Linked DNA regions of Danio rerio. The protein of the gene in region 1 purifies or fractionates together with the protein of each later gene. This does not show direct contact. Links are inferred from orthologs where the notes say so. Each region holds a gene or a part of one and is shown on either strand. Other genes may lie near its edges.

Region 1 (4,592 bases):
TTCTGAAGCCCTGAAGTTTGAAGAAACTGAGCAGAACGCTGGACTGTTTTGAAAGCTACAGCGCCTCCTGGTGGACAGGAGAATGAACAGTCTGTTACTTTGTGTGTGCATGTCTGTGGTTATTGTTGATAGTGCTTATGGATGAAGGAAACCACATCATCTTTGGAGAGCTTGTCGGGGTTGATCCTCGTCTGGGAGTCGTGAACTCGGACGCCTTCCTCCCAAGCCCAAAACAGCCTGTCTTGATGACACACGCTGAGGAGCAAAAGAACAGAGAGAACAAACTGTCAAAGCATTGCCCGAAAAACACTAAAATATTGTCAAAATAAAGAAAGAATGCAGGGTTTATATGAATGTAATTATAATTCTTTTATATATATATATATATATATATATATATATATATATATATATATATATATATATATATATATATATACACAGTAGGGGAAATTAGTATTGAACACACCGTAAAAACAAAAACACATTCATAAAACAAAACATGATGTTATGGCTCGTTTCCACTGACTGGTACAGTACGGTACAGTTCGGGTCGGTACGGGTCACCTTTATCAGGCTTGCATTTCCACTACCAAGGGTAGCCTTTTGGTGGGCGTGGTATATGACAGAAAGTTTCAGTCGACGTCATGCTCGCTCGAATAAATGTCTACAGTAAAGCTGTACGGGTCGCTTACATATAACATGAGCAGCACTTCTTACAAAACAGATGCTTTATAGACAAATACTTGTTTATAAATGTTTATTACTAACTTTTCTATGAACAGGATATGATTATAACTGCAGATCAATGACAGTGCAAAATAGCCTACTGTAACGTCTGCAATTATATAAAATAAATATATAAATGCAACATAAATGAACACATAGAGACCCTAACGGTCTCCGATATATTATTAATTACAGAAAAACTATACACATCATACATTTAGTACTTATATGAGTGCAAAAACACACACAATATAGCCCACAGTCAGCGCAAACCTGTGAATAAGCTGTGCATGTCATTTGAAAGGCCTTGCTTGTTTTTAGAACAGAGTTCAAAATGATTCTCCATTTTAGTCAATCATTTTAAGCCCAGAAAAGTCTTTAAACAAAACTACTCAGCAATAACCAAACAGAATCTCAAATAAAAACTCAATTTATAATAAATATATGAAAAAAGAGGATGTTGTGGATTTAAAAAAAAGCTCTTTTATTCTGAAGGCTAAGGCCAGAAATAGTTGTGCAATATCTTGTTTGTAATGTAATTTAATGTTCAGGGCTTCAATCCAAAATGTAGTGCCAGTCATGCCGGATTACTTTAATACTTACTGGAAAGGTGCCACAGAAGTGGCTGGCAGATCGTAAGTGGATTCTTTGGTCTGCTTGTTGTAGAAAAACTTTCTTTTAGAACTTTTGCTGAAAGCCATTGTCCATGGGTCTGTCAAAAAAAGACAAATAATAATCATTATTATCAATGCAAATTCAAATTTAGCATGGCACTGCATTGATATGAAGCTGTTTGCCCTCACCATTCACTGTTTTGATGATGTAAAGGCCGGTCGGGAGGAAATGACGATCATCTCTGCCTGTGTACGATAGTCTCGGCATCCCTCCTGAACTTTTGGTTATCTTCATTTCCAACCTGAGAGAAAAGAAAACAAAAAAAAAGAGCGCACTTTTGAAAATAAAAATAGTTTTTCTTTCATTTCATGTTAATTAATATAAATAACATTTTGCATGTAAATATAAATTATTTATGATAAATTAAAGAAATAACAAATATATTTATTGTATGTTATATGGTATTTTCATTCATTTCGAATAAAAACAAAGAATATAATAAAAGCAAGATAATAATTACAAATAATTGTATTACCTAATTTTGCCATTATTTTATTTCATTTTTGTTTTAAAATGACAGCGTGTATTAAACAAATTATCTGACATTGAGAAAAAAAAGAATGTAAATAACTTTTAAAACAATTTATTTTATAATTTATTTCCTTTTTTAAATTTAAAATGTATAAATATAAATTAAAACATTTAATTAGTTTAACTTAAAATATAATCAATAAAAACAAAATAGAGAAAAAATTTATAAGCAATGTAAATGATTTTTATTTCATTTAAAATGTAAAATATTAAATAGAATGCTTTATGCTTTAATTTAACTCAAAATATAATAAATAACAAAATAGAAATAACATATTTTAGCTTTTACACTAATATAATAAAAAATAGTCTTGCTTTTATTTAAATTATGCATTATTTTGTTCCTTTGAAATTTAATCAAAAATCATTTTATAATAGATTTGTTTTGACATGTTTTGTAATGATGTGAAGCTGAATTTGACACAATCTACATTGTAAAAGCGCTACACAAATAAAAGTAAATTGAATTGATTTTATTTCATATTTCTTGTTGTTTAAAAATCATGAGTCACAATGAAAAGTAAATAATTTAAAAATCTATATCATACACGTTATATTTTGATTTCATTTAAAAAGTATTCTCAGAATTTCGTAAAAATATTTTTTGTATATATTTTAATTAAAAGTCATTTTAATAGTGAATTATTTTGCCATGGTTTTATTTTATATTTGTTTTAAAAAGACAGCGTTTATTAAACAAGTTATATGATATTGAGAAAAAAAGAATGTAAATAACTTTTAAAACAATTTATTTTAGAATTTACTTTCTTTTTTTAATTTAAAATGTGAAAATATAAATTAAAACATTTAATTAATTTTACTTAAAATATCTTCAATAAAAACAAAATAGAGAAAAATTAATAAATTAAATATTTTAGTTTTTACATTAAAATAATACAAAAAATTATTGTATTTTAGAATTAAAATATGTTACTTTTAAAATAAAATATTTTCAGAACGAAAAATTAAAAGGCTAAACATGAAAACTGAGTTACTTGAAGAATGATAACATAAAATAACATTTTGTTTTATTCAGTTTAGTTTATATTTAAAAATAAATATTCCACGTTTACAATATTCGATTTCATTTTAATATAAATTTAATGAATGCATATCTTAATTTTATTATGTTTAAAATTTCACTTGAAATATTTAAAATACGGGAAAAAAACGTACAAATACATATTTTATATTGCTTAATTTTTTCAAATAAAATGCATTATAAAAAATTAATTAGTAAAACATGTTTTACTTCATTTAAAATTATATTCAAAATAAATCAAACAAAAAAATAACAAAAAAATCTGCATGCATGCATGTGGTTGACATAATTGAACGCACCTCACAAAGATTTTCTCCATCTCCTCCAACCTATAGACTTCCTTCACTCTAATAAATGAAAGAGAAAGACTGTGAATGGATGAAGCAGAAACAACAAGCGCATTGTATTATAATATCACCCGAAACATGAAAGCTCCTGTCTAGGCTCTAGTAAAACACTGTATCTTCATCCATTTTACATACAGCTCCCTCCGGTGTTCACAGATCATCCGTCACTGACATGCCAATTAAAAACGACCACGGAGAGAAAAAAATTTTACCGGATCGGGTTCATGTCGGGCCTGCTGGGTTTGGACACGGCTTTCACAAACTTCTCCACCATCTGGATTCTGCAACAACAACAAACACACTAGTAGCATTAAAATTAATTTAAGGACTCTTCCTGCGGGCACATTTATTGTCACTGTGAACGAGAAGTTGCTGCAGACTTTTATTTCAGGATGATGTATATACAACTATCTTAGCAAATTAATTGTTTTAGGGGCGTGACTAAGCATATTTTGTACAATGACATCATCAGAGAACAGGCTATATACAGAAAAAATTCAATACCCTTAAAGATTCTTTCCATATATTTTAAACCTCATCGCCACTTCAGGTTGCAACCGGTCACATCGACAACATTTTTACTTACAGTATATTTAGTAAATACTGATTGCAAGAAACTAATCCAAACTAAAACATTTTTATAAGCTGAATAAAAATACTAATCCAGCAGGTGGCGCTTAACGTTACGGTATTATTTTTATATATATATATATATATATATATATATATATATATATATATATATATATATATATATATATATATATATATATAAAGAAGTCTTGTTCAATAGAAAAGGAATATAGTTTAAAAGAAATATAATTCAGAAAGATGGGGAAAAGGGTTTGGGGAGAGTTATTACAACCTAACAGAGACCTCCTCGTTACTATTTCTGTTTGTTGTCAAAACTGAGTTGGAGGGGCGTGGTTAAGTATGCTAGCCACGCCCAATTTTTAAGATATACATTGTTACAACTTTACTGAGAAACAAACAGGAAGTGCATTTTCAAAATTCAACTAAAGATTAGAAGGGCATTTTTTTTCTTGACATTCACAGATTAATTGTTCACCACAGAACTAATGATGAGAGCTAACAAAACCATATGGTTAGTTTTGATTTCTTAGGGACTGTAAATACGTGCAGCCTAACTAAAATCAGAAAGTATACAATGTTAAAAATGAGGTAAAACTCTGTGGTTGCCAAAGGTTTCAAAATTTGTTAAGATTCAAAAAGGCATCTGCTAACCACATAAATGTAAAGCAGTAGTT
Region 2 (5,925 bases), on another chromosome or scaffold:
TAGTCAAAATGAGGGTTGTCACGATACTGGAATTTGATACCAATCGATACTGAAGTTTTAAAAACGTCAATTTCCTGCTAACATTTGAGTGCTGTTAGCAAGTTCTTAAACAGTGCTGATTTGTCACTGTGTCCACGTGCTCAACAGAAAAGACTGTGATTGGCCTTGAAGGTCATCGGTTCACCGAACTCACCGCTGTTTACTGAGTGTAACCACAGATACAGGGACACTGGAGCATTTTAAAGTCACGTCGTTCGGCTAGTTTGTCTAAAACAGTGGTCACCAAACTTGTTCCTGGAGGGCCGGTGTCCTACAGATCTTAGCTCCAACCCTAATCAAACACACCTGAACAAGCTAATCGAGGTCTTACTGGGTATACTTGAAACACCCAGGCAGGTGTGTTGAAGCAAGTTGGAGCTAAACCCTGCAGGGACACCGGCCCTCCAGAACCAAAATTGGTGACTCCTGGCCGAAAAGCTGACATACAAGTGATCCTCTGATGAATCGCTGCTTTAAAATGCCCCAGTGTCCCTCTATTTGTGGTTACACTCAGTAAACAGTGGGGAGTTCGGTGAACTGATGACCTTCACAGCCAATCACAGGCATTTCTGTTGAGCACATGAACACAATGGCCAATCAGCGCTGATTAAGAATGTGCTCAGTAGTGCTCAAATGTCAGCGGGAAATGAACATTTTTAAAATTTCAGTATCAATTAGTAATGAATTCCAGTATTGGCAACCCTAGTCCAAATAAATGGGCTTATGTAAATTTTAAATAATTAATTGTAAACGTTATGTGTAGCCTGCATGGGTTTTAAACAAACACAAATACCATCATTAAAGCGCGACTGACTCAAGTGACCTCATCCCACGGGAAGATTACCAAACCGCAGATTTAGCATCATTTCCACAGCCGCCATCTCTTTCTTGCAGAAAGGCAAATGAAAAGCAGAGCAGCATCTCTCCCCCCCGCCCCGTGCGTTTGGTGTAGCGTACCGTACCCTGTGCCGTGCTCTAGCCTCAGAACTAGGCCTTGTGTCCTGTCTGGGTGAACGCTTGACTCATCCCTATGGGCGGCTATGTTGGGGCCCATACCAACCTTGTTTAGTCCCACAGTGCTTTGTGCGTCCCACCGAAGCTAAGAAGGCTGCTGATGAGTCCAAAATGAGGTTCGCCCACATCGACGGGGACCACCTGACCTTGCTCAACGTCTACCACGCCTTCAAACAGAGTATGTATATACGACACACACACACTCACACATGCATTTGATTTTTTTGTGATTTATGGGGACAGTCAATGTTCTCATAATTCACCATCTAATTGTAATACCCATGTCATTTTACACATTTGTGTCCTGATGTGTTGCAAAAACACACACACACACACACACACACACACACACACACACACACACACACACACACACACACACACACACACACACACACACACACACACACACACACACACACACTTGCAGCTTGAGCCCATGTGACATGATTCCTTCCCCCATTTTTAATTAGCCTAATTGCCTACATATATTACAACTAATTTCAGGTTGTTTTTGTAGGTGGCCAAAATCATGATTTGTTTCATCAGATTGAGTGCCTGCGAGGCAGTGCGCTATTAAAACTGTTCAGAAAGACTGGAGTGTGGCTCATCCCTCACTTCAGCATGCATATTTTCTCTCAAAATCCCATGGGGATTCTCTCATTTCACTCAGTCTTTTACAGTAGCCATTGCTTAGATGGAGCAAGATAACAGGCATTGGAGTTTCTTGATGTTGATGTGAAGCTGCAAATTTCAGTTTAATTTGTCAGTACAGTAATGAATTTAAGCTTCAGAATGATTTTAATTAGCAGTGTTACAGATAATTAATCTTAGAACAAAGTTTATCCGACCATCCATCTATATCTCTATCTCCATCTGTCTATCCATATCCCCATCCATCCCCATCTCTATCCCAATCTATCCATCCATTTATCTCCATCTCTATCTTTGTCCATCCCCATCTCTATCCCTATCCATCTATCCTCATCTCTTTCATCCATTCATCCATCATCCCTATTCATTTCCCCATTCATCCAGGTATTCATCCCCATCTCTATATCAATCCATCTATCCCTATCTATCTATCTATCTATCTATCTATCTATCTATCTATCTATCTATCTATCTATCTATCTATCTATCTATCTATCTATCTATCTATCTATCTATCTATCTATCTATCTATCTATCTATCTATCTATCTATCTATCTATCTATCTATCTATCTATCTATCTATCTATCTATCCATCCATTCATCCCTATCTTTATCCCTGTCCATCTTTATTTCTATCCCTATACATCCATCTCTATCTGTCCTTATCAGTCCATCCATCCCTATATTTATCCCTATCCATCCATCGTTATTTCCATCCCTATCCATTCATCCATATCTCTATCCATCCATATCCCTATCCCTATTCCTATCCATCCATATTCCTATCCATCCATTTATATCCTAACCCTATCTATCATCCAAATCCCTATCCATCTATCCATATCTCTACCCTGACCCTTGTCCATCCATCCATCCATCCCTATTTCTATCCTCATCCATCCATCCATCCATCCATCCATCCATCCATCCATCCATCCATCCATCCATCCATATCCCTGTACATCCATCCATTCACATCCCTGTACATCCATCCATCCATCCATCCCTATTTCTATCCTTATCCATCCATCCATCCATCCATCCATCCATCCATCCATCCATCCATCCATCCATATCCCTGTACATCCATCCATCCATATCCCTGTACATCCATCCATTCACATCCCTGTACATCCATCCATCCATCCATCCATCCCTATTTCTGTCCTTATCCACCCATCTCTATCACTATCCCTGTACATCTATCCATCCCTATTTCTATCCCTATCCACCCATCTAAATCTCCATCCATCTGTCTCGTCTCTGTCTCTCTACCTATATCTATATGTTAGCCACACTCAATACGTCAGACAGATGTAATCTGAGAGTTTGACTTAAAACAAACAGAAAGTGCACAGTAACCTGTTTCTAATGTGTAAACCGTTCTGTTTTAAGACCACGAGTCGGTGCAATGGTGCTACGATAACTTCATCAACTACCGCTCGCTGATGTCGGCTGATAATGTGCGGCAGCAGCTTTCTCGGATCATGGACCGGTTCAACTTACCCCGACGCAGCACAGAGTTCACCAGCCGAGACTATTACATCAACATCCGCCGCGCTCTGGTCACCGGCTTCTTCATGCAGGTCTGTAAATATGCCAGAACTTAATAATATATTTAGTTGCTTTTTGCTTTGTATTGTTTTCGCTTTTCTTCTGTGAGTAATGCAGCAGTTTGTGGATGTAGATCACCACAAATACAAAGGTTAAAGTCTCCCATCAGAGATTTATTTGGTTAGATTTATTTTTTTTATATTTAGCGAAAAGTACATATATGATAGAAATGGCAGCTTACAAAAGGCCTTTCCACATTTTCTTTTAAACTTTTGCACCAAAAACAACAGATAAAACCGTCAAAATAATGTAGTGGCAGTAAAACTTTAATAATAATAATAATAATAATAATAATAATAATAATGAAATATATAAAAAACAATACAAATATATTAATAATAATTAATAATAGCAAGTAATTTAAATAATAATAATCATAAAAGTAATATTTAAAAAATAACAATATATAAATGCAAATAGTTTTAATAATCATCCATCATAAAAGTAATATATAACAAACACAACTAAATATAATAATTAAAAAAAATAATAATGCAAACTATTTAAATAATAATAATAATGCAAATTTAAATGATAATAATAATAATGCAAATAATTTAAATATTAATAATAATAATAATAATAATAATACAAATAATTTAAATAATACTAGTAATAATAATAATGCAAACAATTCAAATTAAAATAATTAATCATAGAAGTATTAAAAAAGTAAAAAATATAATAATAAAGCAAATAATTTAAATATAATAGTAATAATAATGCAAATTATTTAAAAAATAAGTATAATAATCATCATCATCATAAAATTAATATATAAAAATAACAAACATATAATAATAATAATAATAATAATAATAATAATAATAGTAAAAATGCTAATAATTTAAGTAATAATAACAATATTCATAAAAGTAATTCAAAAAAGCACAACACAATTTAATAATTTTAATAGTAATAATAATAATCATCATCATAAGTAATATATCAAAAACGAAGAAATAATAATAATGCAATTCATTTTAATAATAAAAGTAACATAAAAACACAACAAAAAATTATAATGCTAAATTTAGCAAATAATTTAATATTAATAATCATCATAAAAGTAATATATAAAATTTTTTAAAATATAATGGTAATAATAAATAATGTAAATAATTTAAATAATCATCTTCATCATTTTAAAAGTAATATATAAAAATAGCAAAAATATAATAATAATAATAATATTAATAATAATAATAAATGCTAATTTTTAAAATAATCATCATTAAAGTTATGTATATAAAAATAACAATATTGTAATAATAAATAGTGATTCAAATAATAATAACAATAAGAGTCATAAAATAATATATAAAACATCAAAATATAATAATAATATTAATAATATTAATAATAATGATAATAATAATAAAAGTAATAAAAGTAATATAAAAACAAAAAAAATAAAAATGATTAAAAATACATATGAAAACCTGTTGTTGTGTAAACCTAATAGGAAATTGACTTTTCATATTGAAAAAGTATGTAATTTATTGTTGAGAGTAGCGATAATTTCTTACGATAAAACATTTTCCAACAAAAATGCTATTTTTATTAGATGCTTTTTAAATCATTTATTTATTAAATAATATAAAAATAAACAGTTTGAAGATATTTTTAAAAATTATTTTAATTCGGACTTAAAAAATGGTGTCAAGGTGGAAGCATTTATGTGTCTTTAAAACACCATAAATGAGTAAAAACCTCTGATTGGCTGTTGTTGTTTTCCTGTCTCGTCTTGACGCCACCCATAAGTGTTTATTTTCAGCTTTGTGTTCACATTTGGGCAACTCCACCCAATAGCAGAACAGTAACTACTGGAGAGGCGGGGATAAAGATAGTAAGGCCCCATCTGATTGGTCAAATTTAGATAACCAATGCATAAAACAAATGTGATTTATAACACGTGTGTGCGATGCATATATTGCACATGCGTTTTATCGCGATAACAATAATTTTCACAATAATATATTGTGCAGCCCTAGTAACAACTTAAATCTACAGTTAGGTATTGGACTGAACTGAAGATAACAGAATAAAAGTCATTATAGCCATGCATTGAGTTGATCCTGTTGCTTAAAAGCTTAAAAGTCAGTACATCTAGTTTTAACCTTGATTTCTGCCTTCTGTCTGAATTAAAATCCTTGTCTGTTGGCAATCCAGAATCACTCAAGCTTGATAATGTAATGCACAGCTTTCTGTCAAAGTGTGACCATTTAATCGCATACAAGAAATCAAGGCAATTTCCATCCCACGCTTGTCGAAAAATAAACGGCGCTTTTATCGAAGGCCTGAAACAAGCGACCTGACTAGTTGAATTACTCCTTTAATATTGAAATATTTGTCAACATTAACCTTCGCTGAGACAAATTTGCACCATGGTTGTAAGAATTACCCAGCGTTCTGTTGCCGACGTCTGTTTGAGTGGGCCGTTTATTGAGACTGATTGCATGGGTTAATCTCCACATCCTCACACCGCCTGAAGTAACACCAGAGTTTGGTTGATTTATTTGTTCATTTGCGTGTCTTGTGTTATCAGGTTGCTCACCTGGAGCGCACCGGCCACTATCTCACAGTGAAGGACAACCAGGTG

Evidence for each region. Proteins that work in one complex are often made in the same cells at the same time.
Region 2: the proteins of cmtr1 (region 1) and dhx15 purify together in Homo sapiens (co-immunoprecipitation; 3 studies listed by BioGRID and IntAct, with this or other methods). This does not show direct contact. The link is inferred for Danio rerio from reciprocal best matches to the Homo sapiens genes CMTR1 and DHX15.

What each region holds. Positions count from the first base shown.
Region 1 is NC_133198.1:38,481,717-38,486,308, forward strand, and holds part of cmtr1 (cap-specific mRNA (nucleoside-2'-O-)-methyltransferase 1), read right to left. Parts: intron 3,606-4,592; coding exon 3,537-3,605; intron 3,325-3,536; coding exon 3,277-3,324; intron 1,646-3,276; coding exon 1,533-1,645; intron 1,442-1,532; coding exon 1,333-1,441; intron 256-1,332; coding exon 120-255; 3' UTR 1-119. UniProt on the Homo sapiens protein: S-adenosyl-L-methionine-dependent methyltransferase that mediates mRNA cap1 2'-O-ribose methylation to the 5'-cap structure of mRNAs.
Region 2 is NC_133182.1:76,858,535-76,864,459, reverse strand, and holds part of dhx15 (ATP-dependent RNA helicase DHX15), read left to right. Parts: exon of another isoform or gene 1-1,108; coding exon 1,109-1,231; intron 1,232-3,104; coding exon 3,105-3,295; intron 3,296-5,871; coding exon 5,872-5,925.